4 linked regions of the Lonchura striata genome follow. The protein of the gene in region 4 interacts with the protein of the main gene of each other region in a pairwise test. Links are inferred from orthologs where the notes say so. Each region holds a gene or a part of one and is shown on either strand. Other genes may lie near its edges.

The links.
Region 1: the proteins of ABI2 (region 4) and GCC1 interact in binary tests that used the Homo sapiens proteins (3 or more experiments, as listed by UniProt). The link is inferred for Lonchura striata from reciprocal best matches to the Homo sapiens genes ABI2 and GCC1.
Region 2: the proteins of ABI2 (region 4) and LMO2 interact in binary tests that used the Homo sapiens proteins (3 or more experiments, as listed by UniProt). The link is inferred for Lonchura striata from reciprocal best matches to the Homo sapiens genes ABI2 and LMO2.
Region 3: the proteins of ABI2 (region 4) and ARHGAP32 interact in binary tests that used the Homo sapiens proteins (3 or more experiments, as listed by UniProt). The link is inferred for Lonchura striata from reciprocal best matches to the Homo sapiens genes ABI2 and ARHGAP32.

Annotation. Positions count from the first base shown.
Region 1 is NC_134607.1:72,892,612-72,899,907, reverse strand, and holds the start of GCC1 (GRIP and coiled-coil domain-containing protein 1), read left to right. Parts: upstream 1-4,286; 5' UTR 4,287-4,298; coding exon 4,299-4,314; intron 4,315-5,341; coding exon 5,342-6,273; intron 6,274-6,825; coding exon 6,826-7,296. Other genes in the region: acrosin, read right to left, coding at 675-952, 1,329-1,571, 1,691-1,761. UniProt on the Homo sapiens protein: Probably involved in maintaining Golgi structure.
Region 2 is NC_134608.1:54,470,417-54,478,081, reverse strand, and holds the start of LMO2 (rhombotin-2), read right to left. Parts: upstream 3,007-7,665; 5' UTR 3,000-3,006; coding exon 2,963-2,999; intron 2,724-2,962; exon of another isoform or gene 2,665-2,723; coding exon of another isoform or gene 2,658-2,664; intron 2,555-2,657; coding exon 2,377-2,554; intron 1-2,376. UniProt on the Homo sapiens protein: Acts with TAL1/SCL to regulate red blood cell development. Also acts with LDB1 to maintain erythroid precursors in an immature state.
Region 3 is NC_134625.1:1,488,540-1,495,992, reverse strand, and holds the start of ARHGAP32 (rho GTPase-activating protein 32), read right to left. Parts: upstream 3,005-7,453; 5' UTR 2,812-3,004; coding exon 2,762-2,811; intron 1,913-2,761; exon of another isoform or gene 1,784-1,912; intron 1-1,783. UniProt on the Homo sapiens protein: GTPase-activating protein (GAP) promoting GTP hydrolysis on RHOA, CDC42 and RAC1 small GTPases. May be involved in the differentiation of neuronal cells during the formation of neurite extensions.
Region 4 is NC_134610.1:24,751,711-24,759,385, reverse strand, and holds the start of ABI2 (abl interactor 2), read right to left. Parts: upstream 3,018-7,675; 5' UTR 2,946-3,017; coding exon 2,829-2,945; intron 1-2,828. UniProt on the Homo sapiens protein: Regulator of actin cytoskeleton dynamics underlying cell motility and adhesion. Functions as a component of the WAVE complex, which activates actin nucleating machinery Arp2/3 to drive lamellipodia formation.

The sequences.
Region 1 (7,296 bases), on a different chromosome or scaffold from region 4:
GTTCCCAGCTGTGTCCCTGCCCCTTCCCCACGCAGCGATGTGCCCAGCTGTGTCCCTGCCCCTTCCCCACGCAGCGATGTGCCCAGCTGTGTCCCTGCCCCTTCCCCAGGCAGCAATGTGCCCAGCTGTGTCCCTGTCCCTGCCCCTTCCCCACGAGGCAATGCTGCCCAGCTGTGTCCCTGCCCCTTCCCCAGGCAGCAATGTGCCCAGCTGTGTCCCTGCCCCTTCCCCACGAGGCAATGCTGCCCAGCTGTGTCCCTGCTGTTGGCCTGGGGAGGAGCCAGACCCATCTCTCCTGAGGCTTCACAGGGCCAGCAGGAATGGTTTGGGTGAGCAGGGACCTTACAGCTCATTCCGTTCCATGCCCCATCTTGGCAGGGACTCCTTCCCCAGCCTGGGCTGCTCCGAGCCCGGCCCCGCTGACGTCCTGCAGCTGGACCCTGTCTGTGCCCAGTCCGTGTCCCTGTCTGTGCCCAGTTCGTGTCCCTGTCTGTGCCCAGTCCGTGTCCCTGGGGTGCCCAGTCCATGTCCCCGGGGTGCCCAGTCCGTGTCCCCGGGGTGCCTGGTCTGTATCCTTGTCTGTGCCCAGTCTGTGTCCCTGTCTGTGCCCAGTCCATGTCCCCAGGGTGCCCAGTCTGTATCCTCGGAGTGCCCAGCTCACCCTCGGAGTACACATCCCATTGGGAGCTCACCTCTGGCAAAGTTCCAGCCGGCGATGTAGCAGGATTTCAGCTCCAAGACCCTGATGGAGGCGTCGGGCACGCAGCCCAGCTGGATGTAGTCACTGCACTCCACGGGCCGGTCCAGCTCCACCAGGGCGATGTCATTCCTGGCTGTGGCAGGCACGTAGTGCTGGTGCACCAGGAGCCTCTGGATGTGTCTCACCTCAGCCTCGGGGCCCGGCTGGCTCAGATCCGAAACCCCCATCACCACTTCCCACCTGGAGATGCCCCTGGGGAGCAGATGGACAGAGGGGTGACAGAGAGAAAGATGGACAGAGGGGTGACAGGGAGCAGATGGACAGAGGGGTGACAGGGAGCAGATGACAGAGGGGTGACAGGGAGCAGATGGACAGAGGGGTGACAGGGAGCAGATGACAGAGGGGTGACAGGGAGCAGATGGACAGAGGGGTGACAGAGAGAAAGATGGACAGAGGGGTGACAGGGAGCAGATGGACAGAGGGGTGACAGGGAGCAGAGCCACGGGCTGCAGCAGCCCAGCATTTCCCGGCCTTCTGCTTCCCAAGGCGGGCAGGGAAGTGGCACGTGGTGCTGTGAGCTGGGCACCTGCCCTGCCCCAGGGACATCTCTGTCCCTGCTGTTTCTTACCCGGCCCTGGCGAAGCAGTGTGCGACCGTGAGCACCCACTGGGAGCTGAGGAGGACACCCGAGCACATGTGCCACGTGCCGTTCTCCCAGGTGGCCTGGATGCTGACAATGCCGGGCCAGGCCCCTGGCTGGACACCCGTGCCAGCCACAACACGGGACAGGTCAGCAGCAGAAGTCACGGAGTCGTAGTCGAGAACTGAAGAGCTGTGGTCGGAAGCCAAGGGCCGGAGCCCGCAGGTGCCTCTGGAAGCACAGAGCCATCACTGCCCTGCTCGGGGACAGCAGGGACAGGGACCCCGAGGGGCTCCTCTGTGCCCAGGCTGTGCCAGGGAAGCCCCCGAGTGTCCCCGAGCCCCCCTGACCTGCAGGTGTCCCAGGTGGCCCACACGGGCCCGGCCAGGGCCAGCAGGACGAGCAGCCCCAGCAAAGCCATCGCTGCAGGTGGCAGAGGCGGAGCAGAACTGTCACCTCTGGTGCCACCCGCGGCCCTGGCAGTGCCCACGGTGCCACCAGGCTGGGCTGATGTCACAGACGGTCGGTTCCATGGGTCGGGGCAGCTCGGTGTCACAGAGTGGAATGTGGAATGGTCTGGGGGCAGCACCCAGAGCACCAGCATGGGGTCAGACCCGCCCGGCACCGGGCTGGGCATGAGCAGCTGGAGCAGCCCTGGGAGAAGGATTTGGGGGTGCTGGGGGTGAGAGCTCAGAGCCCTGGCAGGGCCTGGAGGGGCTCCAGGAGAGCTGCAGAGGGACTGGGGACAAGGATGGAGGGACAGGACCCAGGGAATGGCTCCCACTGCCAGAGGGCAGCCATGGATGGGAGATTGGGAATGAGGAATTCCTGGCTGGGCTGGGATTGCCAGAGCAGCTGGGGCTGCCCCTGGATCCCTGGCAGTGCCCAAGGCCAGGCTGGACACTGGGGCTGGAGCAGCCTGGGGCAGTGGGAGGTGTCCCTGCCCAAGGAATAATTCAGTAACCAGTAGAAGACAGAACGCTAATTAATGAAAGAGGTTTTAATGTCATTTAGAAGCAATGAACATTGATTTCTTTGTCGGCTCAGAATGCACAAACGGGTGACAAAGTTTTGTCCCGGGCTCTCTGTGGAGCCCCTGGGCAGGGACAGAGCAGGGCCGGGCTGACGGACGCTGGAGCAGCTCGAGTTCCGTTCCTCCCGGCGGCTCCGGGCGATTCCGGCCGCACCGGGAGCACCCCCGGCTCCCTCCCGCGGGGGACAGGGGGACCGGGCCCGGCTGAGGCGGCGCTGCCCGGGCTGGCTCGGACAGAGCCGAGGGCGCTGCGGCTGCTCCCCATCGTTACCGGGGGGTGTGGAGCGCCGGGATGCTCCTCCGGGCCGTCCCCAGAGGGGACACCCGCTTGGAGAGGGGCTGCAGGGGCTGGGGGGACCGCGGCCGCCGTGGGGACGGCACGGGAGGGGCCGCGACACCGCTCGGGCCTCTCCGGGACACCGCTCGGCCCGCTCCGGGACACCGCTCATTGCTCCGGGACACGCTCGGCCCGCTCCGGGACACCGCTCATCGCTCCGGGACACCGCTTATCGCTCCGGGACACCACTCAGCCCGCTCCGGGACACCGCTCATCGCTCCGGGACACCGCTCATCGCTCCGGGACACCGCTCATCGCTCCGGGACACCGCTCGGCCCGCTCCGGGACACCGCTCATTGCTCCGGGACACCGCTCGGCGCTCCGGGACACCGCTCGGTCCGCTCCGGGACACCGCTTATCGCTCCGGGACACCGCTCGGCGCTCCGGGACACCGCTCGGCGCTCCGGGACACCGCTCGGCCCGCTCCGCGCTCCCGGCGGAGACACCCTCGGGGTCACCTCCCTGCCGGGGCTCTGGCCCGCCCGCCGCGACCCCCGCGGATGGCGGGCACTGAGGGCGACACGGGAGGACACGGGGGGACACGGGGGGACACGAGGAACACGGGGGGACACGGGGGGACACGGGGGACACGGGGGGACACGGGGAACACGGGGGGGCACGGGGGGACACGGGGGGACACGGGGGGACACGGGGAACACGGGGGAACACGGGGGGACACGGGGGGACACGGGGAACACGGGGGGACACGGGGGGACACGGGGGGAAACGGGGGGAAACGGGGAGAACACAAGGGGACACAGGAGGACATGAGGGGACACAGGAGGACACGGGGGGCCACGGGAGGACACGGGGGGCCACGGGGCACTCCAGGGGACACGTGGGGCCACGGGGGGACACGAGGGGACACACGAAGGTACAGGGCCACCCGGCTGTCACCACTCTGCGGTGCGGGGCCGAAGGCCACGCCCCCACTCTGGCCACGCCCTCATTACTGACCACGCCCCTTGGGGACACGGCTGTCCATCGGCGCCCAGGCCACGCCCCGCGCCAACAGACCACGCCCCCGCCGCCAGGCCACGCCCCCAGGGCCCGGGCCACGCCCCCGCCACCCGGCCACGCCCCCAGGGCCCGGGCCACGCCCCCAGGTCCCGGTCACGCCCCCAGGGCCCGGGACACGCCCCCGCCGCGCGGGAGACCCCGCCCACACCCGAGCGGCGCGCGCACGGCTCCGCCCCGCCGTGTCCCCCCGTGTCCCCCGGTATCCCCCCGTGTCCCCCGTGTCCCTCCGTATTCTTCCCGTGTCACTCCGTGTCCCCCCGTGTCCCCCGGTATCCCCCCGTGTCCCCCGTGTCCCTCCGTATTCTTCCCGTGTCACTCCGTGTCCCCCCGTGTCCCCCGGTATCCCCCCGTGTCCCCCGTGTCCCTCCGTATTCTTCCCGTGTCCCCCCGTGTCCCCCCGTGTCCCCCGTGTCCTCCCGTGGGCCACGCCCACAAACCGCCTTACGAGGGGCGTGAACCGCCCCCGGTAACGGATCCGTTTGCCCCGCCCCCGCGGCGGCTTCCGGCGGAAGTGGCGGCGCGGCGGAACCGGCCGGAGGTGAGGGGGGCCCGGGCACCGGGGGTGAGGATGGCGGGTACCGGGGGTGAGGATGGCGGGTACCGGGGGGTGAGGGCTGCGGGTACCGGCGGTGAGGATGGCGGGTACCGGGGGTGAGGATGGCGGGTACCGGGGGTGAGGATGGCGGGTACCGGGGGGTGAGGATGGCGGGTACCGGGGGTGAGGATGGCGGGTACCGGGGGGTGAGGATGGCGGGTACCGGGCGTGAGGATGGCGGATACCGGGGGTGAGGATGGCGGATACCGGGGGTGAGGGCTGCGGGTACCGGGGGTGAGGGCTGCGGGTACCGGGGGTGAGGATGGCGGGTACCGGGGGTGAGGATGGCGGGTACCGGGGGGTGAGAATGGCGGGTACCGGGGGTGAGGATGGCGGGTACCGGGGGGTGAGAATGGCGGGTACCGGGCGGTGAGGATGGCGGGTACCGGGGGTGAGGATGGCGGGTACCGGGGGTGAGGATGGAGGGTACCGGGGGTGAGGATGGCGGGTACCGGGGGGTGAGAATGGCGGGTACCGGGGGTGAGGATGGCGGGTACCGGGGGGTGAGGGCTGAGGGTACCGGGGGTGAGGATGGCGGGTACCGGGGGGTGAGAATGGCGGGTACCGGGCGGTGAGGATGGCGGGTACCGGGAGTCCGGAGGGATCCGGGCGGGAGGCAGGATGGTCCCGGGGGGTGCCGGTGAGGGGCCCGGGTGGTGTCCGGGGGTCGCGGTGGCTCTGGTGGTCCCGAGGCGGTGACAGTGGAGGGCCCAGGGCGGTCCGGGAGGTGCCGGGGGTTGGAATGGTGTCCGGGGTCAGGATGAGGGATCAGGATGGGGGTCCTGCACGGGGGTCCAGAGGGGTGTCCCGGGGGTCCGGGTCATGTCCTGGCGGGCTCAGGATGGGGGTCTCGAGGGGGTCGGGATGGGAGCCCTGGGCTGGCCGGGATGTGGGTGCCGGGGGGTTCGGGGTGGTGTCTGTGGTGTTTGCTGCCCCTTTGGTGTCCTGGTGGGCCCAGGGCGATGCTCCTGCCCGTGCCAAAGGTGCCTTTTCTCCTTGCCCTGCTTCCCCCCCAGATCCCCCCGCCATGGAGAAGTTCGGGATGAACTTCGGGGGCGGCCCCAGCAGGAAGGAGCTGCTGGAGACCATCGAGACGCAGAAGCAGCAGCTCCTGCGCTTCCAGGCGCGCCTCAAGGACGTGGTCCAGGCCTACAAGAGCCTCCTGAAGGAGAAGGAGGCGCTGGAAGCCAGCCTGAAGGTGCTCTCCGTGTCCCACGACGGGGACCTCGCAGTGCCCCCGCCCGGGGCTGGGGACTCCCCGGACGACCGGAGCTCGGAGCACAGCGAGGACAGCGCGGGGACGGCCGCCGGCGCGGACGCCGCGGCCGGCCTGACCGGCGCCGGGGGGGACGAGGAGGACAAACCCGCGGGCGGCGCTTCCCAGAGAGCCGAGGAGCCGGGCGGCTCGGAGGGCGGCTCGCCGGGCGAGCCCGAGCGGCGCCTGCAGCAGCTGAAGGCGCAGCTGGCCACGCTGACGGGCGCGCTGGCCACGGTGACGCGGGAGAAGTCGCGCATGGAGGCGTCGTACCAGGCGGAGCGGCGGCAGATGAAGCAGGAGCTGGAGGAGGCGGCGGGGCGGGCGCGGGACGAGGCGGAGCGGCGGGACGCCGAGCTGCGGCGGCTGCGGGAGCAGCTGGCCGAGACCCGCGCCCGCCTGGCCGCGCAGCAGCGCGAGCGCGAGAGCGAGCAGGCCGACCACGGGCTGATGCTGCGCGAGCTGCAGGAGCTGCTGCGCGCCGAGCGCGCCGCGCGCCGCGCCGCCGAGCGAGCCCCGGGCCACGAGCAGCACGGCCGGCGGCTGAGCCACGAGCTGGAGGAGCTGCGCAGGGAGCTGCAGGACGCGCGCGAGGAGAGCGGGAGGGCGGACCCGCGGATCCGGGAGCTGCAGGAGGAGATGGCCGCCCTCAAGAACCACTTCCAGCTGCAGCTGGTGCAGGAGATGAAGAAGGTGATTGCTGCCTGGGAATGAGGGTGGTGCGCAGGAGCTGGGGCGAGGTTTGGGGCTGCGGGAGCCAAATCCCCTCTCCCAGTCTCTCGGAGTCCAAAGCGTCCCATCGCGGATTGATGGGATGATAATTCTGGGGAGCAGCTCTGTGTGGGATGTATCCAGGGAGTGGGGCTGGAGTCAAATTCCCCTTCCCAATCCTTCAGATTCCAGGAGGTTCAAAATAAATGGCACAGGGTGCCCAGAGTAACTGGGGCTGCCCCTGGATCCCTGGAATGCCCAAGGCCAGGCTGGACACTGGGGCTGGAGCAGCCTGGGGCAGTGGGAGGTGTCCCTGCATGGCAGTCGTGGAGAGGCTCTGGGGTCCCTTCCCACCCAACCCATTCCACGATTCTAAGCACAAACCCCTGAAAAGCCAGGACAGGGAGGTGTCCAGGCAGGGCTCCTGGGGTGGGGAGGGCCCCGTGTTGGTTCGGAGCACAGGAGGGGCCCCGTGTGACCCCAGGTGAGTCCCCACGTGTCCCCACGTGCCCTAACCCCGCCGTGTCCCCGCAGACAGCCCAGGCCGAGGAGCAGCTGCGGCAGCGCTCGCAGCAGGAGGAGCGGCGCGTGGCCGAGCTGGAGGCCCAGGTGTCCCAGGTGTCCGAGCTGCTGGGCACCTACGAGAAGGCCAAGCAGAGGGACCAGGGCACCATCCAGAGGCTCAAGGACCGCATCGTGCAGCTGGACCTGGAGAACAAGACCTTGGCCATCGCCGCCTCCAGCCGCTCCCTGGGCGAGGTCGCCGTGGAGGAGGCCACCCTGGACGTGGGCGCGCTCAAGGAGAAGATGGAGAAGCTGCAGAAGCTCCTGCAGGCGGCGGCCGGGAAGGGCCCGGCGGGGCCGGAGGCGGAGGAGCCGCGGGAGCCGGAGCAGCCCCCGGGCGGCGGGGACGGCAACGGGGACAAGGCCTCGGGCGGGCACTGCCAGCAGGAGCTGAGGCAGCTCAAGGAGGAGTTCGAGCGCTACAAGGTGAGGGCGCAGCAG
Region 2 (7,665 bases), on a different chromosome or scaffold from region 4:
GTCACTTCTCAGAACAGCACGAAATTAATAAACACAACAGCTGATTCTGTTGCCCAACTGGTTTAAGTCTCGCTGCTGATTTTAATAAAGCCAGCATTTTACCTCATGTTGCTGCAGGACTTCTTTTTTCCCTTAGCCAAGGACATGAATCCCCTGGGATGGGTCTGTGCCAACATACTTCAATTATCTGGGATTTACACATCCATGAGTGAAAGAAGACACAAATCTTTATTGTGATATTAGCACTGACTCTTTATGCACCTTATTTTGTTCCTTTTTCTAAAAAGCTTGGAGATCTAGGATAATTCTGGTTAAAGAAGTGAGAATTTTCTTCAAAGCCACTTTCTTAAAGACTTCTGTGTCTTTTGGGGTAATTTCACAACAGCAAAAAAAATTAAAAGAACAGTGCCTGAACTCAGTTTTGTATTGTTTTGGGCTTCACCCAAATGCCAGAAAAGTAAATTTAAAAAATCTACTGGATCCATCCCTTAAGCATTTGCTTAATTTCAAACCTTTAGCTAGTAGAGTGGACCCCAAATTTTTTCATATTATTGGATTAGTGCTCCAGCACAGAGTCCCTGAGCAATTTGCTTCTGTCATTTGTCTGTCCTCCTGTGGGCTGCTGGGGGCAGAGGAGACCTACACTGATGAAGAAGCTCTGCTCCCTGTTTCCAGCAGGCAACAGGAAAAAAATTGTATTACTCCTGCTTATTTACTGGATCAGCAGTTTTCTGGGCAAAAATTACTTTCTTCAGCAGGGAGAAACGACCTCTGGTCAAAAACTTCTCGGCTGAGAAAGTGATCCTGGAGTTTTATTTAGGCAAGCTGAGCTCTGAGATATTATCTGGTTCTATTCTGTCTGGTTTCTCCCTTCTAAGTTTAAACTGCTGTGCCCTGCAAGCTATGTCGTAACACCTCTCTCCTGCCAGCTCACCATCCTGTGAGTTTTCATTAAAATCATGGGGAACTCATTATTAGGCCCTATTTTTTCCCAAATTTATTCTTTTGGGCCACATACTCCCTTTCCTAACACGTGGGCTCCATGCTGAGAACTTCTGAGAGCTTTCCAGTAGAAGGAAGCACACATCATTATCCTTCATTTTCTGTTATCTGAAACTTTGAAGTGTACCCCAAAATGTTTCATCTGAGGGGTGTTTGGGAATCTCAAGCCAGGTTTCACTGAGAGCCCTAAGCTCAGGAACAGCCCAACGGATGTTTATGCAGAACAGCATTCCTGGTTAACTCATTAGGCTTTTGATGTCCATGGATTTCTAAGCCAGCACTTAAGCCACCAGAACACAAGGCAGGTAAATAAATAAGGATTAAAAAAAAAACTTTGTAGATGAAAGCTGGACATCATTAGGAGCTGAGATTAGAGTTTCTTAAAAAACAGCATAAAAGAAAATGTAACATGTAAAACATCATGGAATGAAGTGATGTAATCCCCAAAAGCAGCGGTTCCCATGTGCTCGTTCCGGGCTCCAAGCAATGGCATTTTTAGTATCTGACAGGAAACAAACCACGTATGACTCAATTTACTGAGAGCGATGTTTTAAGCGTTATCTAGAAACGGAGATTTTATAATTTATTTCTTTTTTCTTCTCTCTTACCGCGATCCCGGACAAGCCTCAGTGCAGTAAATTAGCACGTTCAGGGCTGAAGTGGCCCTGGGTCTGTGCCGAGTTACCATCCCTGGGTGTGCAGCAGGGACGGGACAGCGGGAGCACCCCCCGGGAGAAAGCCTGGATCTGGACACGGAAGCCGGTCCCTTCCCTGAGTGGGAAGCCCAGAGAGGGAAATTCTCATCTCCTACATCCCGTCCATCAAGTCTGTCTACATGCTCTTAGCATGCACCCAGCCCCCACCAAAGCTTTCTACGAGCTTTTGGAAGTTGCATTACGAAAACGTGGAAGTTGGGCACCCGCAGCTAACAGCCCTGACCTTTCACTGATCGTCTGCAGCGACTCGGGCAGATCGGGGATGGGGCAGAGAGGGCCCCTCGGGATGGAAAACCTGAAAGCTTGGGAAGCGGGACGCTCCCTCTCTCGCCGAGCATCCCCACCACTCCGCGGTGGGATGAGGGAGTGGGAGATGCCCTGCCCGGGGGGAATTGCGCCTCTCTTCTCCCGGCTGCTCTTCCCTCAACTTGGGAGGCTCTCCGCAAGCTTCCCCACGCCGTCAGCCCTGCGGGGCCGGGGCAGCCCGGTGTCCTGTGCAGGGGAAGGGGGTCGGAGCTGCGGGGGCTGCCGCCGAAGCCCTCCGGGGCTGCCAGGCGCACAATGCCGGCGGCGGCTCCGTCGGGGAGGACGGGTGGCACCGGGAGGCGAGCGGGGACGATGGCGAGCGGGGGACCGGGCAGAAGAAGCGCGCACTTACTCGGAAGGATCGAGGCTTTTCCTCTCGATGGCCGATGACATTGGCAGGGCCGGTTCCTTTGTGGCGTGCCGGTGGTGGGCTCTGCCCCCGCCGCCCCCGCAGAGGCTGTCTGCTCGCGGAGCCTTGTCGCCAGCCGCGCTGCCCCGCCGCCCCGCGATGACATTCACAGGATTTCCTCCTGCAGCACCGAGACAGAGAGAGACACACAGGGGCTGGGGCTGCGCTCCGGCCCCGCACAGCCCCCCCCACCCCGGCCCCGCACGTCCCACCCCGGCGCTGACCTCCCATCCCCGCCGCGCTCCCCCCGCGCCCCGGCCGGCGGGGCCGCTCCCGCGGCGGGCGGGGGGCGGCGGCCGCGGCCGCCACCGCGGCTCCGCGCCCGGCGCTCAGCGGCTCCGCGCGGGCAGCTCCGCACACGCTCCGCGCCCGGGCGGCAGCGCTGCGAGCGGCGGCAGCCGCATCCCCTGGATTATTATTACTCCGTGGCTCAGCCCCGGCTCTCTGGTTTCATTTCCTTTTTCCTGATCACGATTCAAATACAATAGAAGGAAATCACACTTAAAGAGACAGCTGCCCGTTTCTTAACTGCACTCCTGGGGATTCGGCAATACAAACAGCAGCATCACGACTCGCTGGGTTCCTTAAAGAGACAGAGCGGGGCTCCCCAGAGTCAGGGCTGGGGGCTGCCGGGGCGTTCTCACGTTATTATTATTCCCTTACTAACGCTGTCTCTGTGCGCAGGCAGGTGGGCGACCTGAGAATGATCCCAAGAGCTGGAATAAAATAAGCGCCTGGTTCCGGATTGTGCCGCCTTCTCAGCTGCACCCAGGAGCGGCACTCGCCATCCCTCTCCTCGTCCTCTCCCTCTCTGACACGAACATGCACATGCCCACACGCACCCATGGGTTCGCGGGGCTCTTGGAGAGCCACAGGTAAAGATCCCGAACATGATTTGTCCACCCAGAGTTCAAACTGGTCAGCTCAGTTGTGTCTCATTTACAGACCGAGTGAACATTTGCTTCCAGACACCCCCGGATTCTTGGCAAGCTCTGTAACAAATTTACACCCGGGCACCGTGTGATGCTAATGAGCTATGAAAGCCGGCGAATACCAAGTATCGATCTGTAATTAATCCAAGACACGCCAAAGATGGGGAAAGTCTTGCCTGGATATTTCTATTTTTCCTCCCACCCTTGCTCCTCTCCATCAGCACAGCACATCCCGGAAAGGACTGATTTACAGCGCCGGAGTGAAAACTATTGCAGCAATCCGAGCCTTTGCCAGGCTCTGTGGCATTAGACGATGGCCCTTGCTGGAGGCAGAGTTCTGGATGGGATGAACAGCTTGCCCTGTTAATTCCTTTTAAAAAAGTAAAGAAATATCTGTAATAAAGCCCCGGAGAGTAGTGGTAGCAGCAATATTTCGCTTCTATATTAATTCCCACAAGAAAAATGTATTTTATGTCTATTTTTATGACTACATTCTCCTTTTTTTTCCCCGCTTTTTGGCAGCTGGGGATATAATATCTGCAATACATTAATGAGCCTGATCCAAATATTAGTAATGTCAGCAGAAAGACTGTTATTCTTTCAAGGGACTTTGAACCCAGCTCTTGAAATACTTTAGAGCTATCACTGCTTACTAGAACATATCTTTCTTATTCTTTAAACGCATTATCTCCAATGCATTTCAAGCTATTACAACAGGACAGTCAGTCTCATTTCTGTTGTAGGAAAAGGCTCTTTTGTTAGGTTTTCACAGACAGGACTAAATTATATGATGACTATTTAATTTCTTGCATGTTTACCCTGTGATCAGCAAAGTAAAATAAATGTAAATCTTGCCAGAAGACTGAATAGATAAACTATTGTAAGACTTCATGAGAAAAAAAAAATTCTGCCAGAAACTTCACTTGGCTATAAAAAGAACCAAAAATTTAATTAAAGGCAACTCAAAACCATGCAGGACATCAAACATGTTTAAAAAAACCCCAAGACATTTCTATGAGCTTGGCTTCTCCAGTGTCTAAAGTTTTAATAAAATATAAACTCTTAAAACATAGAATGCAAAATTTCCCTGATGATTGGGGTACTCATATTCTGATAAACTGCTCGTGGAATAATGTGAGCAATTCCATAATGCCAGTAAATGTTCTGAGCTCAGAAGTTGTGCACGCACTGCAGACGTGCTGGCCTGCTGCCCCTCTTCTATTTATTTTCCCAAAATTCACAGGAAATTAATTTATTTAAGACCTCTATGCCTTTGTGTATCTAAAAGAGTTCAAAAGTTTTGGTGAGGGACAAAAGCATCAACATTGGCACATAAGGAATTACTTAATTCCCTAGAAAAACAACATCAAAATGAGGATTTACAATACATGGTGGCCAGCGATTATTGAGAAAAAATAATTTTTAAGGTTTCACAATTCCTTGCTTTGCTCAGACCACCTCAGGTCTGCCAGATAATGAGATATTTCTCATATTCATAGTTGAGCATGTGCACTGATGGACAGACCAGGAACATTCTCTGCATTGCCAGATCAGTCCCTTCACTGCAGAAAAGCTTTTCTGCATAAAAACAGTGGAATAATGTGCAATATTGAAGCTGAAGAGGACAATTTGTATGTGTTTGACTTTTTCAGTCAGATCAAGAACAAACTTTCCCAGATGAAGTCAGATCTTTAAGCACAGAACTCGTGATAGTGCTGGGATCACTCCATAGGCCTGCAAGTACCATCTGTCTCCTCATCTAAAGTAATTGTAATTAAAACTGAGATTATTTCTTGTTTTTTCTCGATCCTGTGAAAGAGAGATGCCAAGCAAAGTCATACGCAAAGGAAAGTGAAGAAAAAGCTGGATTTGCAGCAAAAAGCTCAGCAAGAAGGTCCTCAGAATGCTGACCAAGAACTGCGTCTTCAAATACATCTGAGGAACAAAGCCATACACCTCTTTGGGAAAATTCCATTTTCATTTATTTGGTTTACATATAATAAGCTCTTGCTCTGGACAGTGACATTTGGCCTTTCCAGCTGAGGACTTTTTGTCCCAGCAGAACAGATGACCAGCAATCAAGAAGGACTTCTTTTTCTTCACTTTGAGCAAGTCCCTTAATACCATTTTGCCTCAATTTTCCCATCTGCAAATGTTTACTTTCCTCAGCAGAATTGGCTGTTGATTTACTTTTGCCTCCTGCTGAATAACGTTCCCAAAGACAAAGCGTTATTCAGTGCTGGAATTGGTGGTGCCGACATTTCCTGCCCAGGCACAAAAAGACCAGCACTATTTTTAGTGAGGGCTTTTCTTTCCATTGTTTCTTTCTTTGTGAAGCTGCATTTTCCAGTGCTCTTTAGTGTGGCTTTTTGTGTGTGCATGTGTGTTCATTGATTGGAAGTCCCGAGGGATGAGTTTTGGTTTCAATTAACTTTTATTAATAAAGATCACGCTATAGACTAATTATTGGAGCATGGCTGGGGTCAAATCTGCTGTTAGAGACTACATTTAGCATTTGGGGCTTGGAAAAATGTGCCATGAGTAAGTCAGCTGGACTTTTCTGGATGTTTCTCAATAAGAATGTAATGTAAAGCTGCGTCATTTCTGTGAGTGGTGTAATCTAAAGGAATAGTTCAATGTGTCTGTTTCCAAAGAAACATCCTCTCTTGCACTCAGGGAGTATTTTCAGCTTGGTTTTGGAAGGCCAAAATATCATCACCACTCATCCTCAGGTTGTTCCTACCTTTATTCCTTTGGTATATCCCAGCTTTATCCCCCTCTATAGCTTATGGATACTATTGAGCTATTTCAGGTCACCCTCATTTAGAAAAGTCTGTATTCAGTAAGATTAACTTTGCTGCCCTCAATAGCCAGTAATGCTGGTTGCCTAAAAATGCAGTTTATGAAGATTGAAGTCTCTGCATAGATGGAAGAATTAAATCTTGGTGATGGTGGCCTAGATTTTCTGTTAATGCTTCTGTGGAAGGGAAAAGTCAAGACCATGACTAAAGGTGAACAATTAACAGGAAAGGTGGCATAAAGGAATCAGGATTTCTGTAATTTGGGCTGTCTGCTGCTGCTGAGCCACAATTTGGTGATAGAATCACTGCTCCACTCCAATCCACCTATTTGCAAGACTCCTCCTCTTTCCCACCACACACTGGACTGAAGCCTTGACCTGCCAGCCCCTGAGATGAGGCTCTGAAGTAATGGAATTTTGGGTTGGTTTGGGTTTTTTGAGCCTAAATTTGACACCACAGAAGGAGAACCTTGATCTCTCTTAAAGAACACAGAATATTTGGGGAGGAATTTGGAGGCTGGAACTGGGGGATCTCTAAGGTCCCTTCCAAGCCAAACTGTTCTGTGATTCCATGATTCTGTATAAACCAGCTGCTGCCAATGAGGTGGGATTGTGCCACTGGAGAACCAATGCTATCAATATATGATGAGTATAATGAGTATCAATAGTTACTCATTTCACCACAATGTCATATTAATGGCATGAAGGGCACCACATAATTCAAAGACAAAAAAAAAAAAATTATTCCCTTTTCATGAATCTGGAAATTTTGTTTCAGCCAGTAAGTTCTGTTCTAGTCGGTGTGCTCTCCACAAGTGCTGTTTTGATTTTGTTGTTTTTTTTTTTTATATAAATCCCTCCTCATCATTCTTCTAATTAACACATTTTCTAACCTCCCTGAGGACAGAGGTGGATAGAGAGGATAAGGAGCTGTCACTGAGTGATGACCACATGACTGACTTGATTATACTTTGGAGGCTTTTGGTGAAGTGTGACTCAGAGAACTTACAGACTTCTGACCAAGGACACACTTCTCTTTTTGGGGCTCAACCCTTCCTTTGAACTGGAAGAAAACAAACCAGAACAATAAAAACCACACTCAGGGTGAGGTTTGCCCTGGGACTGTGAGGTCCAGACATTAGATAAGGATCCTGGTGCACACAGAGGCCTGGGCAGTTACAAAGTTTTGTTTTGTTTTGCTTTGCTTTGTCTTATTTTCTCCCACAAGCAGCAAAGATGAGAGAAATAAAACCACCCACCCCAGCAACTATGGTTATAGCCCAGAGAAATCTTCAACTACAGATCACATCAGGGATGATGAAAAGTTAGTTACAGGCAGTCAGATGAAGGGATATTTCACTGCAAAAATGTGAAAGGTCCCCCTCCCCATTTCCTCCCTCTTCTTTTATTGATTTCTCTTGCTGCCTTGCACGCAAGCCAGATCCAATTACTCTGTCATGGTTTTCATAAGGCTACAGCTCTACAGTACAGTCCTTTCAA
Region 3 (7,453 bases), on a different chromosome or scaffold from region 4:
TGCACCATTCCATCCTAAGGAGCCGAATGGAATTCTAGAAATGCCCACTCCTTCGAAGCCCCTGCCACTGCATCCTGTCACTATTCCCAACTGAAAAAAAAAACACACAGAAGTTGTACATCTGCCTATTTTTTACTTTTACATGAAAAAACACAGGAGTCTACCCTGCTCTGACTCAACAGCTAACGAGCTGCCTGCTTTGGTCTTGAGGCTCAGAACTGGGAAGCTCAAATCCCATCCCAGTTCTCCTGCTTTTTGTCCATCACATTCACAGTTTCAAACTCACATTATCTCTCCTTTTCCCCAAGGATTCTGTGAAGTTTTTTCTGCTTTTCTTCTGGCTGATAACTGAATGGAACCTGGAAATAACATTTCTTTTTTTCAACATAAGTGAAAACTAAGGATTTAATGCTCTTTAATGACAACTATCAGGAGCAGAATATCAAAAGATTAAACTGTGGTCCCTGGCACCAGAGCATGAAGTCGTCACAAAGTATCAAATGCTAAGGAGAAATACAGTTCAACACAAAGGAAGATTAAACCAAAAAGCTTGACAAAGCGGAATTAAATGATTATTTCTGTATTTTTGATATAAATACTGAGGGTATGTCACACAGGACATTGTTACACTGGTTGTTGCAAAAAGACCTGGGGGAGCCAAGGACGTGCTCACTAATGGACTGATAAAATTGTCCCCTCCTTGCAATAAGAAAAGATGTGGGATTTTTTCCATGGAAAGCATCCCGGGGGACCGGAGCCTGGGAAAGCTGTGTGCTGGAGCTGGAGGGCACGCAGAGGTCAGGAGGACAGACAGCTCAGCCATGAGCAGGGGACATGCTGTGACACCCAAGTCACCCCAGGCTGTGCCGTGCCGAGCACCAGGTCCGAACATCAACCCCCCAGCCTGGCTCCAAGATACTCCCCACCCCGGGAACATCCATGGCTCTGCCCCTGTCCTCCCAACCACTGCCCTGGCACCAGCTCAGCACTGCTGCTTTCTGTCCCTCTCCCCTCCAGTCCCAAAGCCACTGTTACGAGTAGGGCAAGGACTCTACAGCCCTCCGATGTGCCACTCGGAAAAGGGCGTTTTTCCTCAAGGAAATCTGCATCGGCACAGCACATTCACTTCGACATCAATAACCAGCAAACTCCCCGCACTCCAAGCATCCATCAGGAGCATTGGAGTGAGAGCAGGAAGTTAAAAATACTCCTATAATCCTGTTAAATGCAAGCTTTGCTTCCAAAAAACAATACCAATTTTATCTCTGTGCTGAAAGGTAGGACATGAACAAGAGATCTGCATTCAGAGAGGCAACCATAATAAGCTCATCCTTAGCTCTGCCATACTCTGGACTCTCTGCAGAAGTGACAAAAAAAAAGGGGATGTCACTGCCAGAACTAAAACCTATTTAATCTGCAGACTTCATGGATGACAAGATCCATTTGGAGGAAAACTGCATAGATTTTATCAAACCACTGCTAAACTGACTTCAGCCAGAAACCTCATACTGCACATACTGACACTGCCAGCTTCTCACAGCTCATTCCCAAAGGAATTCACACCAAACACAAATCCTGTAGTTCTGATTTACAAAATTCCCTCCTGTAAGCCTGTGGCTCTATCCTTGGGTAACAACATATTGCCAATATATTGCATTTTCTGCTTTTTCCATAACAAAGGAAGCCGGGGAGTGCAAAGCCTTCAGCATTAGCATACTAGACACAGTCACTTTTTAAATACAGTTTTGTTTCCAAGTAAGTGGAAGCAAAATTTTCCAACTACCTTTCTCACAGTGCCCAAGTCAAATAATGAGCAGATATCCAGCAGCAGCTTTCCTAAGGATAAATATTTCAAGGAAGAAAGAAAACACAGACAAATTCAAAGAAATTTTGCAGTACTGATGTAAGCTACTCTACTTTGGTTTCTGGCAGTGTAAGTGAATTAGGAGGAGTCAGCATAAATTACCAAGACTTTGTTGATAATGTCTTAAACAGTGAAATAAGAACCTGCATCTCCAGCTTCTGGCACCTTGGTTCATAAATAACTTCTGGTGTGGTAAATCCACCTTGATCTGTAACCCAGGTAGGCAGTAACAGCAAATTTTAAATAATACCGGGTCCACATCTCCCTCCTTTTTACCTCACCAGTAAATATTTATTCACTCTCAGCCCTGAAGTAGAAAATCCCAACTGAACTGCAGCAGCACTAGGCATACTTCCTATCAGACACAGCACAAACCAGAGTCCAGGGTGAAGGAGATGATTTGCCCTGAAGATAATCAGCACTGCCTCATTCCACAAGAATTTTAACAACATACTCAAGATAACCTGGCCCTCCAGAACTACTGCTCCCAAACCCATATCCCATCAACAGCTCTTCGTTATCCATTAGAAAGGAAAAAAAAATACGCTCAGCAAAGAGCCCCTGTGACTATTGCTGCTTTCACACAAAGTACATACTGTGTGCTCCTCTCTGCTATGCACAGGATATAGTACATTTTTTAATAAAAAAAAGCATTTTCTGTCATGCTGATAATCGCATTCTACACACTTTACCCGTAAATGCCTCAAGGACTGCTGTCATAAAAAGGATAGGATGCAGAATTAGACTTTGTCTGCTTTTTGTATGCTGCTGGGAGCTACACAGTGTAATGTGGCTGAAGCAGACAATTAACCTTTCTCCATTCAAACGCTCAACCACTTAAGACACACAGTCATTTACATGGGTTAAAAAATACAGCAAATATTAAAATGAACTTGCATTTGCTGGGTGGAAACGCCACGCTTGCCTTCCTTAATCCCGCTGTACATTTTTATTAGGCATCGCCGGCTCTGACCAAGTGTGAAATAATGACATCTCTCGGAGATACGGTCTCAGCACGCCATTGATGAGGGTTAAAATAAGGGAGGCTCGTCCCGGAGGAGCGTCCTGAGGGTGCGGCTGGCACTGACCTGCGCGATCCATCGAGGCCGCTCCCAGCTCCGGCTCCAGCTCCGGCGGTGCCCGCGGCCGAGCGGCGGCCGGGGCAGGCGGCGCCGCCGGTCCCTCCCTCCATGTTGCGTATACGGCACCCAGCGAGCAGGGAGCGCGCAGCGCAGGGAGAGCGCAGGGAGAGCACAGAGCACACCCAGCACGGAGCAGAGCACACACACACAGCACGGAGCGGAGCACACCCAGCACGGAGCAGAGCACACACACAGCACAGAGCGGAGCACACACACCCAGCACGGAGCAGAGCACACCCAGCACGGAGCGGAGCACAGAGCACACCCAGCACAGAGCGGAGCACACACAGCACAGAGCGGAGCACACACAGCACGGAGCAGAGCACACACACAGCACAGAGCGGAGCACACACACAGCACAGAGCGGAGCACACACAGCACGGAGCGGAGCACAGAGCACACCCAGCACAGAGCGGAGCACGCACAGCGAGCACGGAGCGCGCAGCACAGAGCAGGGCACACAGAGCACGGAGCAGAGCACACCCAGCATAGAGCAGAGCACACACAGCACGGAGCAGAGCACACACAGCGAGCAAGGAGCACACACAGCGAGCAAGGAGCACACACAGCGAGCAGGGAACACACACAGCGAGCAGGGAGCACACCCAGCATAGAGCAGAGCACACACAGCGAGCAGGGAGCACACACAGCGAGCAGGGAGCACACCCAGCATAGAGCAGAGCACACACAGCGAGCAGGGAGCACACCCAGCACGGAGCACACCCAGCACGGAGCACACCCAGCACGGAGCACACCAGGCGCACACGGAGCCGCGGCAGCAGCGGCGTGGAGCTGCCGGGGGAAGGAAGCGGCAGCGGCTGCTCCCGCGCCAGCCCCGCCGCGATGCTCCCGAGCCCCGGGTTTAGCCCCCCCAAAAAGGGCTGTTCATAAAGGAAAAGCACAAGGCAGCTGGCGGGTCTGGGCTCCATCTTGCCCTCCCTCAGCAGCACCGATTCATGTTTTCCTGAGGCTGCTACAGGCATTTCAGCTGTAACCCTTTCCCGGCTGCAGGAGAAGGCATCTCTTGTCCTGAGCACCTCCATCCTAGTCCCTCGGATACACGTAGGGATGTTTTCACCTGCTCTGCATGGTTTAACCCCTAAATAACACTCAAACAGGTGACCAGGTAAGGATTATATGAGCAGGAGTTATTCCCAGTTCTGCAAAGTGGTTAACCTTGGATATATCACGTTAATATGTTTGCTGTTCTGCTTCCTCCTTTTGGAAAACAAAGTAATATTTACTGCATTCCCAGAGGAAACGTGTAAGCCTTAATTTATTTCCCTGTTTGAAAACGAGCTGTGTAAAAACTGCTATTAAAATTTCTAGTTCATACATCAAATCAGAAATGAGAAATAATTATTACAACCCAACTTTCAGATCCCATTAAAAGACTGAAATCCTTCACCAGACCACCAATGCAGCAGTGAGGATGATGAGCTCTCCATCCGACACACTGAGGCCTGGCCTAGCAAATAAGAAGAAAGCCTGGATGATGGACGACCCTCGTTTGGCCATCAGCTTGTTGTGTGACCGTCATCAAGTCATTTTAATCTTTCTGTATCAGTACAGAATGCAGAGCTCTTCTCACTTCTGTGAAACAGCCCAATAATTTCTGTATTGTTATCACTGCTACTCCTGCCTGAAGCTCAAAGGTACAAGCTAGAATTTGTAGCAATACTAGCTATTGGCTGGTCACAGCCCATGGAAACTCCATGTAGAATCTAAAGGTTTTGCACATAGCTCCTTTCAACACAGTAGGATGCTGAGGGTTATCAGTGTAGGTGAAGATTTGGGGGAGGGAGGAGTGTGAAATTCTGTATGCTCTTGGGACTCAGCAAAACACCAAGTTCAGAAAGACAAAAAGACTTCCAAAACACCACCATTTTGTTTAAATTCAACAGAAGAGGCTGCACAGCCCCAAATTATACAGAACATTCTCTACAACTGTTCTTTTTTAGTCTGTAATGGTTGGATCAGCACTGCTTGCTAAATGCTGTACAACCGAGTGACAATAACTCCGTTCATCAGCCCTGATGGCTAAGGACACAGCCAGGCCAAGCATGAGCTCAGCACTTACAGGAGACAGGGAAGATTCAAGCTTGGCAAAGCTGAGCAAAGTCAAACAGGTTATACCCGTTCTGTGCCTAGAAAGCTTAATGATCCTTTCCAAATCCCTCTTTCCCAATGCTAATTTTTCTTTGTTTCACCAAAACAGACATGCAGGAATGGGACAACCTAAAGATAGAAGAACTTAATAGGAAACAACATGTCCATTGAGGAAAAAAAGCTGTTCTCATTTTGCATCAGTGGCTCCTGGGCTGCAGAAGCTGTTTAAACACCCTTCCTGCCCCTGGACCTGCAGCTCCCAGTGACAGAGACAAAGGGATACTGGGTGGATCATCCCAGGGATTTTATACCTCAGCTGGTGGATTTACCTCTAACTTGAGTGGGGAAGTAAATTCAAATTCCAAAACAGGATAAAACAGAAGCATGCTGAGAAGTGAAGGATTTGCATGAAGTGATGGGGACAGAGCCAGGGCAGAGGTCCCCAGTGGTCCAAGGCCCCAAAGCACCAACAGAATAAAAACACAAGGTAAGAAACTCTGTGGAAATTCTCCACCAGGGTGTACTACAATAAAATACTGCACCCTAAGGTGACCACAGATAGAAGATAAACTTCTGCTTAAAGGAATGAGACTAAAACTCGGTTCCACAGTTCCTGGTGAACAGTGTTCAATCCAAGCTGAATGAAACAGAATCAAAGCAAAACCAAAGCTGTCACTTCAGAAAATGATAAAGCATAAAAGCACAACAGACACTGTCCACACAGCATCTGCTACAGCTTAAGGTCTACTACCCTGCTTAGAGGAGTAGAAATAGCTATGGGGAAAAATTAGAGAAATGTATTTACTACAGCTCCAGCTACCTGGAACTTATGACAAGTAGAAAGAAGGTGCATTTCAGTGCAGAGAGACTGAGCACATGCACTCCCTGCACAGCCAGGAGTTGAGGCATGGCAGAGGATTGTGCCCTGCTGCTGCTTTGTGTTTCCATGCTGAGATCCCACCTCCAGCTCCTCCTGCCAGCTTCTCTCTCCTCATCCAGGGCTACCTGTTCTCCTGCACTCCAGCTACAAACCTGCCAAGGCCAGAGCCTCTCTCACTCTTTATCTGTACATTTTTCAGTGCAGCAAAGCCTTTTTCCAAGGCCAGGGCTCAAGGACTGTACAGCTAAACAGTAATAAGGATTTTGTTTCACAGCTAACTAGAATTCACCAGTTATTAGGAACACCACTGGGCATGTCCAAGTGTCACATTTAAAAAGGTCTTTAATGATGTCTCTTGGAGAACCAGGCTCAAAACTCCTATGGTTTGATGTAACCTCACAGGTTTCCTGCACATGCGCTGGGTTCTTTCTGCTGGAGGTAAATTTTTACAGTAATGGATAATTTTTCCAATACAGACAAGATCTCTCTCCAGTCAGCTTTGTTTTTCCTCCAGTTAGGGCTTGAATAACAAGTGACTCAAATGGTGCTTTGTTGTTTTTTTCTTTTCCAATTAGGAGAACAGAGCAGAGAGGTATCCCTAACTGCAAGCTCTAATTTGCTGTTAAAGTAGGAATTGGCTTGGAAACATTTTCTCTTAATCCTTGGAATATCAGGGGGTGGCTCAGAATCAAATTCAAAACAAATCTCCAACCTGGAAAGCTGCTCTATGACATGGCCGAACCCATGACCAATTTGTTTAACTTCAAGTTGATAGAACTAACATGGATAATTTGATTACATAATGATTCAGCTTTCTAATACATAAATAAATTTTGGGAAGCTGCAACAGCAACTCCTATTTCAGACAATTCTCTCCTAACAGAAATTTCAACCACTTCAGGAACAGTATTATGCAATTCTTTACCACTTCTCACCTCTGCCAGTACTTTCTTTCCACCTCTGATAGTTTCTCTGAGTTTAAATACTATTCTATTTAAGAAGATAGAAGTGCCAACCAAGAGAGGATTTTAAATATAACCTCTTTGATTGCTTGAGGTTATCTATGCAGAAAAAGACCAAGGATGCTGCAAGCCTTCCTCCCTTGCTCCTTGCATAATTTTTCATTAAATTAAAAATGGAATTGCCATTAATAATGTATGCAGAAGAAGACACTGTAGGATCACTTTTGTTTCCAAAAGCAAATTAATTTACTGCAAAAATAGTTCAATGTTAAGATATACAAATTTTTGACTAAGTTATTTGAAGCACCACTATTGTAGAATATTTTACAACCACAGTTTTAGCTGAGGTGCTGCTCAATACAAACTGAAGTGCAGGAAACAAAGACCAACTGGACAGCTGGAACCAAGAAACTAAAATATTTAAAAGAAAATCTTGCTGCTAGCCCAAGCTGAGAACTATTTCATTGCTAATTAATGATATAGGTCACAAACTGCT
Region 4 (7,675 bases):
GATGTTTTTGACATGAAGAAACTTTTTTTCCTCCAAACAGCAGTCTTTATTTTCACTGCTGCAGGTCCATTTATTATATATTTGCTGTATTTCCTATAATTTTCCACAAAATTTAAAGCTGATGTTTTCTGATACACTACCATATAACAGACTCAAGGGAAGGATAACATTTTATGTAACATTCCCTGTTGCTAAAGTCATCGAGCTACACATCAATCATAATTTGGTTAAACACTGACACAATTTTTAAGAACAGGTTTTTCATTTCATAAGCAGAAGTCAAATGAGTAGCAATTGCCACAGCTCTACTACTATGAACTAGCAATTTCCTCATGTATGAGATTACATTTTAATTATTTTGAAGCTGCAATTATGTTGCTAGGTGTGGGGGAAGAGAAAAAACCCATTCACTTCAAACCTGAACTTCAAATTCTGTTACACTGGCCTCACTGGCTTTTGCAACAGTTTTTGCAGGCACAATAAAACTTCAAAGCAGCAATTGGCACAGAAAGGGAGTGGTTTGGCTACTGAAATAGAAAATACAGACCAGTGCAGGGCCTTCAATGTTCCCATCAGCACAGCACCTACCAGCCTGCAAATAAACTTCAGGTCTCAGTCACGTTCTGAGCCTCTCCTAGATCTCAAGATTACCCACAACAAATCCTCTGTCAGCAGTGAAATACTACAGGATTACAGTAGAATTAGTTCATCTTCATTACGTGACTTTCTGAATGATTATTCTTCCACGCATTTCAGAGCATTTACAAACCCATCTTCCCCTAAAAACTCAAGGCCACTATTTTGAACATAATTTGGATTTCTTTCAGACATAACAACTTTAGAATAATAAATATTATTAGAAGCAAAACCACAAATATCCAATTAACCAATAGTTATTCACATTCATCTATTCCACTCCCACAGAGAAGAAAAAAAATCAGCTTTTTATAGTGATCTGATGCAGCAGTTTACATAGCTCTGGGATTGTGAAGGTGGGGCAAGCTCACTGACAGATTTGTTACTAGGACACTCATCACTAAATCCAAAATCCCCTCACACTGAACCTCTTCTCCACAACAAACCCACCCTGTTCATGTCTTGGAGCATTCCAAAAACCAGAGCCTTCTGCCTGGCCGATGGCTCCATTCCCCACTTCCTTAAAAATTTAAGCATGTTAATGCTGTGACCCATACTGCACCTCACAGCCAACGCTCACAACACAATTTCATTCTTTAATTCTCACTTCCCCCTTAAAGCTCTCTGTTGTCATGATGCTTGGATAAATTGCCAACAGTCAGGATATTGCTGTGTGGTGGTCAGAATCCATCAGGCTGACCAAGAGTGCCTCATTCTTTTCCTTCATTCACCATCTGTCTGTATCCATCTCCTGTGATCCTAGACTGTCCTTATGGACTGCGCTGTTTGGGGCAATAGCCTTCTTTTTTTCCTTCTCTATTTGCACAAAACAGCATGGAGTCCTCTTCTGCAGTATTCATTAAGACATTAAAAGTGGATCTGTTCCATAGAGATTCACAAACTTTGATTTATACAAAGAATAAAGGAAAAAAAAAGTCAAAGGAAAAAACCCAACTACACGCAGTTCTTCCTATCTGGTTCTGCCTTCCAGTGCTCCTCTCCCATATTCCAGAAAAATCACTTCTCAAAAAAGCAGAAATTTAAATACAGGTATGTCAGGTTGTAACTCTAAGTAAATATTTCAACATGTCTCTTAAAAACCCTAAGTCACACTAATTCAAGATCAGAAGTGTTATTACATAATAAAATACATCTATAGCATTCTACTGTAATTGACCTGTTTTGTAAATGACCCAAAATATGCAAAGTCTTCTCTCTAAAGAACAGCTGGTCATTCAGCAGTTCAACAAAATCAGTGAGAGCTTTTTTAGAGGGACATTCTAGGTATTCTCTGCCTCTGGTTAAATAGTCTCTCCCATTTTCACTGACAGAACAGTCTCAGCACAGATCTCATCGCTAGCTGCCCTCTGGAAGCACACGAGCACTCTGCCCTTCGGGGACTGAATTCAAAAACAATTCTGGGACACTTTGGAATTCTCTCAACACTGACACCAGAAATCCACATCATTCCCCCCCACCTTTCTCTACTGCACACTCAGATATGTCTTAGGGTATCTTCTTGTGTTTGAGGGCAAAGTTTTCATTTGGCCCTATTATCACTATCAAAGAATCCCAGAGAATTTTGCCCTTCTTTCCACTAGAAAGAGAAATGAAAAAAGCAGAGTCCTAACACCAGCCTGGCTTTAGAGCAGTCACCGCAAAAACCACACTATGCGGTAGCAATTTGCGCTTCATCTCTTTCTCCCTAATTCTGTACCAGCTCTACTACATCAGGCTTCCTTCCATCCTGCACCTACCACTTGGTAGCTGCCCTTCCAATGGAATTCCACAGTCCTGCTTGAGAAGGGAAATACAAACGGACAGACTTAACTCTACTGAAGCCTGTCATTCTGCTCTAAATTACAAGGCATCGACACTGTATTTGCAGGAGTCAGCCGTGTTTATCACATCACCTCGGCGCCGGCAGCAAAGCAGATCAGAATTTGCGGAGGGAACCAAAAGGGGGGACAGAGACAAGATCTGCAATAAACATTCACTCGCAAAGTGGAAGCAATTCAGTTCGGGAATCAATTACACATTTAAGCGCCTCGTCACGCCGGGGTAGCTCACGCTGGAGGTGAGGCAGCTTCCCCCCCTGCCCGGCTGCAGCAGCCGCCGCGGGCCCGGCAAGCGGGGCAGCCCCGCGGGCGCGGCCGTGAGGGCGCGCCCGGCCCGGCCCGGCCCGCGCGCACCTGGATGTAGTTGGTCTCGCAGTACTCGGCCACCCGCTCCAGGTTCGTGTAGCTGTCGAACAGGGCCCGGCGCCCCCCCGGGATCTCCTCCTCCAGCAGCATCTGCAGCTCCGCCATCTTCACATCCTCTCTCTCCCCGCCCGCCCGCCGCGCGTCCCTCGCCCCCTCCGCTCCGCTCCGCTCCGCGCGCCCCCCGCCCCGCGCCCGCCGCCCGGGCCCGGCCTCGCGCCGCGCGCACGGAGCGCGCGCCAGACCCCCACCGCGGCGGGGGCGGGGCGCGGCCGCGCACCGCCTCCTGCGCATGCGCCGCCCCGCGCGGCCCCCCGCGCGCCCACTTCCGTGCCGGCAGCGCGCGGGGGGCGTTTCCGGCGGGAGAGGCGGAGGGGAGGGGCGCGCGGCGGCCCCGTGCCGCGGTCAGGGGGCGCGGGGTGCGCCCTGCGGCGGGCCCGGCTCCCTTCGAAACCCTCTCGCCTTCCTGCACTCCCCTGCTGGCAGCGCGCCCTGCAGCGCACGGGGCTGCGGCCACCTCTGCCCATACCCCGGGGGGCTCCGAGTGCCGTGTGAGCGCCAGGCCCTCCTGCTCCCGGGCGGCTCTAGTGATCCCCGCAACAAAATGTGTCCTCTGCGCGGATCCGCTCCGAAAAGCTGTTCTACAGGGGCGTGAGGAAGGGTGACCTCCCAGCTTTCCAGCCCTGCCAAAAACGCACTTAACGAAGGGTCAGCAGAAACAGAGGAAGGGCAGCCTCGTGGCAGAAGCCCTGCACTGAGGCCATTAGGTCTGTTCGGTCAGTTCCTGCCTTTAACGCTGACGTCCTTCATGTCCCAGCGAAGTCGCTCTAGAATTGTGATGAAAATGCCCACCCTTCGAGGAGTGTGCAAGACTTTCCCACTCAATTCCTCCACCTGAACCTTTCTCCCACAAAAAAAAAAAAAACAATCAACCAGCCCTCTCGGCAGAAGCGTCCCAGCTTGCTGCAGGTAGCTCATTTGTCCCTTTGAAATGAGTTGCAGCTGTGATTGCTCACCTCGTGTTCCCGTGAGGCTCCACAAAGCTCCTGCTGCCTGTGTACTGCAGCCCAGGGCGCTGGTACAAGAGCCTGACGCCTTCCCAGCGCTCACCTTACAGATGCTTTGGGAGCTGGCCAGGGAACAGCCAGCGCTGCAGGACCTGGGCATCAGGCTGCTCCTACAGAACAGTTGTTCTCTGGCTTTGCTGCTGCAGAGGCATCCAGCTAGATATGCCGGACTTCTAGAATTGCAGATTGCAAACACCTGGGGAGCGGGAGAGTCAGGCAACAAACTTGTAGTCTTTGGGGCCAGTCCTTGGAAATTTCTTCCCTTAAAAGAAAAATGATATAGAAATCCCTGCTCTGAGGGTCATTTCTTCTAAGCTTGCTTAGTTCTCCCATGTGAAGGATGAGTCAGGCACAGTGTTCACCATATTGGTGAAAAAACCCTCATATGCAAAGCATTTTTCTCCCATTTTAAAATGTAGTCTGAAATTCACAACTTCAACTACTTTTCTACAAGCAGTTAGAAAGCCAAGGGCAATTTGTAGCTGTAATAGTCTTACTCTCACAAAAAGGCTTGTGAACCAAAGAATACCCTGCCAGAGCCACCTCACCGTGATGCTTGTGGGAGGAGAGAGGTGACTGCTCATGAGCACCTGTGCTGTCACCAAACACCCATGGGGTCCCTGAACACCCGTGGAGTCAGGCTGCCTGCAGCTCTCCACAGCAGTCTGGCATTCTGCCCTAAACCCACAAGGAGCAAAGAGGTGTCATGCATCCTCATTCTTGGTGCCCTCTACCCACAGAGTTTATAAACCATGAGTTACACATCCAAAAATACTGGGTTTGGGATAGTTAAAAATGAATCATGGCTGTCAGCTGCCCTGCTGATTGTTAATGCATGTCTTGAGAGAGTGTCTTTTCTGCAATGGCTCAAGGAAGGAAAGCCAGCCAAATCAACTCAAGAAGGCTGCTGTACAGTGTAGAGCTCCAAGCCTTATCCCACACCTCCGAATCATCCATGGCCAGGCCTCCACCACCCCTAGGGTGTGCAGCTGATGAATAATGCTTTTGCAGTTTGGTAACAGGTCCCATGCTCCCTCCTCCACTGCAGCTGCAGCTTGGATTCTGCTCGTGTCACATCTGCTGCTGCTGTTGCAGCTCCAGGGGTTGCTCAGGCCCATGCTTCCAAGATTCTTTGTGTTTGTGCCAGGCTGGAGGCAGGGGCTGAGGCTTTCCTTCTCTCCTCATTCATTTGCTTCTCAGGTGTGAAGTCAAGCTGTCATTTGGCAGCTCCCCAGTAAACCTACATGATCCTTCTCTTGGCAAAAGGAGAGAGCTGTCAAAATCTATAGGAGAAGGTTCACCAAAGATGCTGTTAGGAGTTTAAACTTGGATTAGTAGCACCAGAGTGTAGGGAGGGGAAATTGTTCATTGTGTCATCTTCTCCCTGTGCCCTTGGGTGCCACCAGGGCCTGCTTTCAGTGGAAACCTGTGAGAGCCCATCTGCTCTCAGATCTGTACTCAACATCAGCAAGCCTCCTTACAGACACCTCTTGACCTCTCAAGGGCTCTGCCTGTGGTCCTTAGGGTGTAAGAAAAAGCATTATCTGAAATACATGCACACAGCTGTTCACCAGAGTAGCTGGACTAACCTGTCTGCATAATCAGGTGCTTGTTATCACAGCATGTTTACATTTTAATAGGGTACTCATTTATGGATTTAAATTTAAACATGAAGAGTCCTTCTGTCAGAATAATGGCCATCCTATAATCCCCTGTATACATACAAAAAATACTTAGAAATAGTGTTTAAATTAGATCAACTGAATCCAACTACCACTTCCCTAAATTTACATAAATTACTTCCCATCTGTCAAGTGATGTGCTAAACTAATTTTAAGTTTTTATATTCCCTCAGCCCTAATTTATTACACACTTTAATTTCTCCAATTTTTTTCAATCCTATTGTGCAAGATTTTCCCTTATATCAATATCTTCAAGACTGAGAAACAAACACATTTTTAACCTAAAGGTGCCATTCAAACAGCCACCAAGAAATAGAAAGGCAAGCAGTCCAGAGACTTTAAATTGGAGATCAAGATCCAAAAGCACAGGGAAACCACTATTCTTCCAACTTCTTTCACATGTCAGGGTTTTAGCCCTGCCAATCACCCAAGGGAGTCCCCTCGTCACAAAAATTTGCACGGATGAACCAACCCATTGGTCACATGCAATCCTGCAGCTGAGCACTCTGCATGGGTGTCCCACACATACAGTTTGAATCATCGATTCTTTATTACAGAAAAGTAATAATGGGGTACCTCAAAGGCCACCTATGTTTTGCACACAGTAAGAAATCACAATCAAAGTCTCTTCCATTTTTGTTACTTTACAGAGAACTGAACAGCACATCACATAAGGGGTGCAAGTAAACATCTTCTTTGGACAGATGACCAGGTCAGATCTTGGATAGATCCTGCTGCAGGTTTTCAGTTCACTTCTTTATATAACTGTACTCTAGTTTTATGAACATTTTTCCTTTTATCTTTTCACTCTTTGTAAACAGCAGAACAAAAGCTGAAAATCCCTGTGCTGCTGCATCACATGGAGCTGAGCAGATTTGCAGCTGGATAAAGGACAAAGGACTCTGGTACCAAAGTTTCAGTCATGTGTACTGATGATATATACAGGCCCATGTCCTTTAGGAGGAAGGTAGCATTTACTGCAGGGGTGAGGGAGGGAAGGAGAATTGGGCAATTGAAGAAAATAGTCTGTAACTAAAGCATGTACCTTCACTCTCCCAACAGGGACGTAATCTTCACGCTTGCCTCACACAGTGTTTGGGTCTGCCTCTGCCTGGATAGACACTCTTTGCCAGTCTCATAGTCCAAAGTTTCTGAAGCAGTTTACTGAACTCCCATGGCTATTCCAGAATGCTGGGGTGGCTTCCCAGCACAGAATGCAGCTGTCTAATACTGCAACAAATGATGTCAGGATCCCAAGGCATTTTAAACACTCAACCTCCAGTGCTCACTGTAAACCAGACTGAAAAACCCACACACCCTGAAGCTGCACATTCTCCTCCTGCTTCCTCAGGCATTTAGCAATTTGCTGGGCAATCAAGATTCTAACCACAGATAACCTCTCTGCTTATGAGAAACTGCTGCTGGGTAAAAGGCTGGCTGCACAAAGGTAGGAGAGGTGACCAGTGGAGTAGCTTCCATCTCATGGAAGTGTTTGCCCTAATTTCCCTAACACTGCTATTTCAGAACCATCTAGTGTACAACTGACATCTGATACCTCACAGCACCTCCAGAGAGGAGCAGGACATGTTGCAGAGATTCAGACCATCTGTTTGAGGGCACGTCTGATTCCAAATCCCAAGCTTTCTTCTAGTTTTCTGCTAGACTTTCTTTTAACAGAGCACTGTGTGAAGACAGAGCCAGTACAAGGGGAGGTACACTCCCAGGAAGGAAGAGGTCAAGCCAAATAGGAAAAATTATCTAACATTTCAGACATTAAAAGAAAACAGGTAACAAATGGTCTCAAAGAGAGGCCAGCACAAAGCATAGTTGCTCATCAGTTCCCTTCCAAGGGATCAAACAACAAGAATTCAGGGAACAGGGGAGGAAAGAACAGCTCTCATTTATTTTTCCTGCTGGTATTCCTTCTCTAAGATGCTAACCCAGACCAACTGCCAGTCCTTTTCCACTCTATCCTGACCCTGTGGCATCTCCCAGGTAAGGTCTGATATGGTCACTAAGCCACTGAAGGGTAGTTAATGCTCCAGCACAGCACATACAACAAAAATTCATCCTCTCTGAACTAGTGATT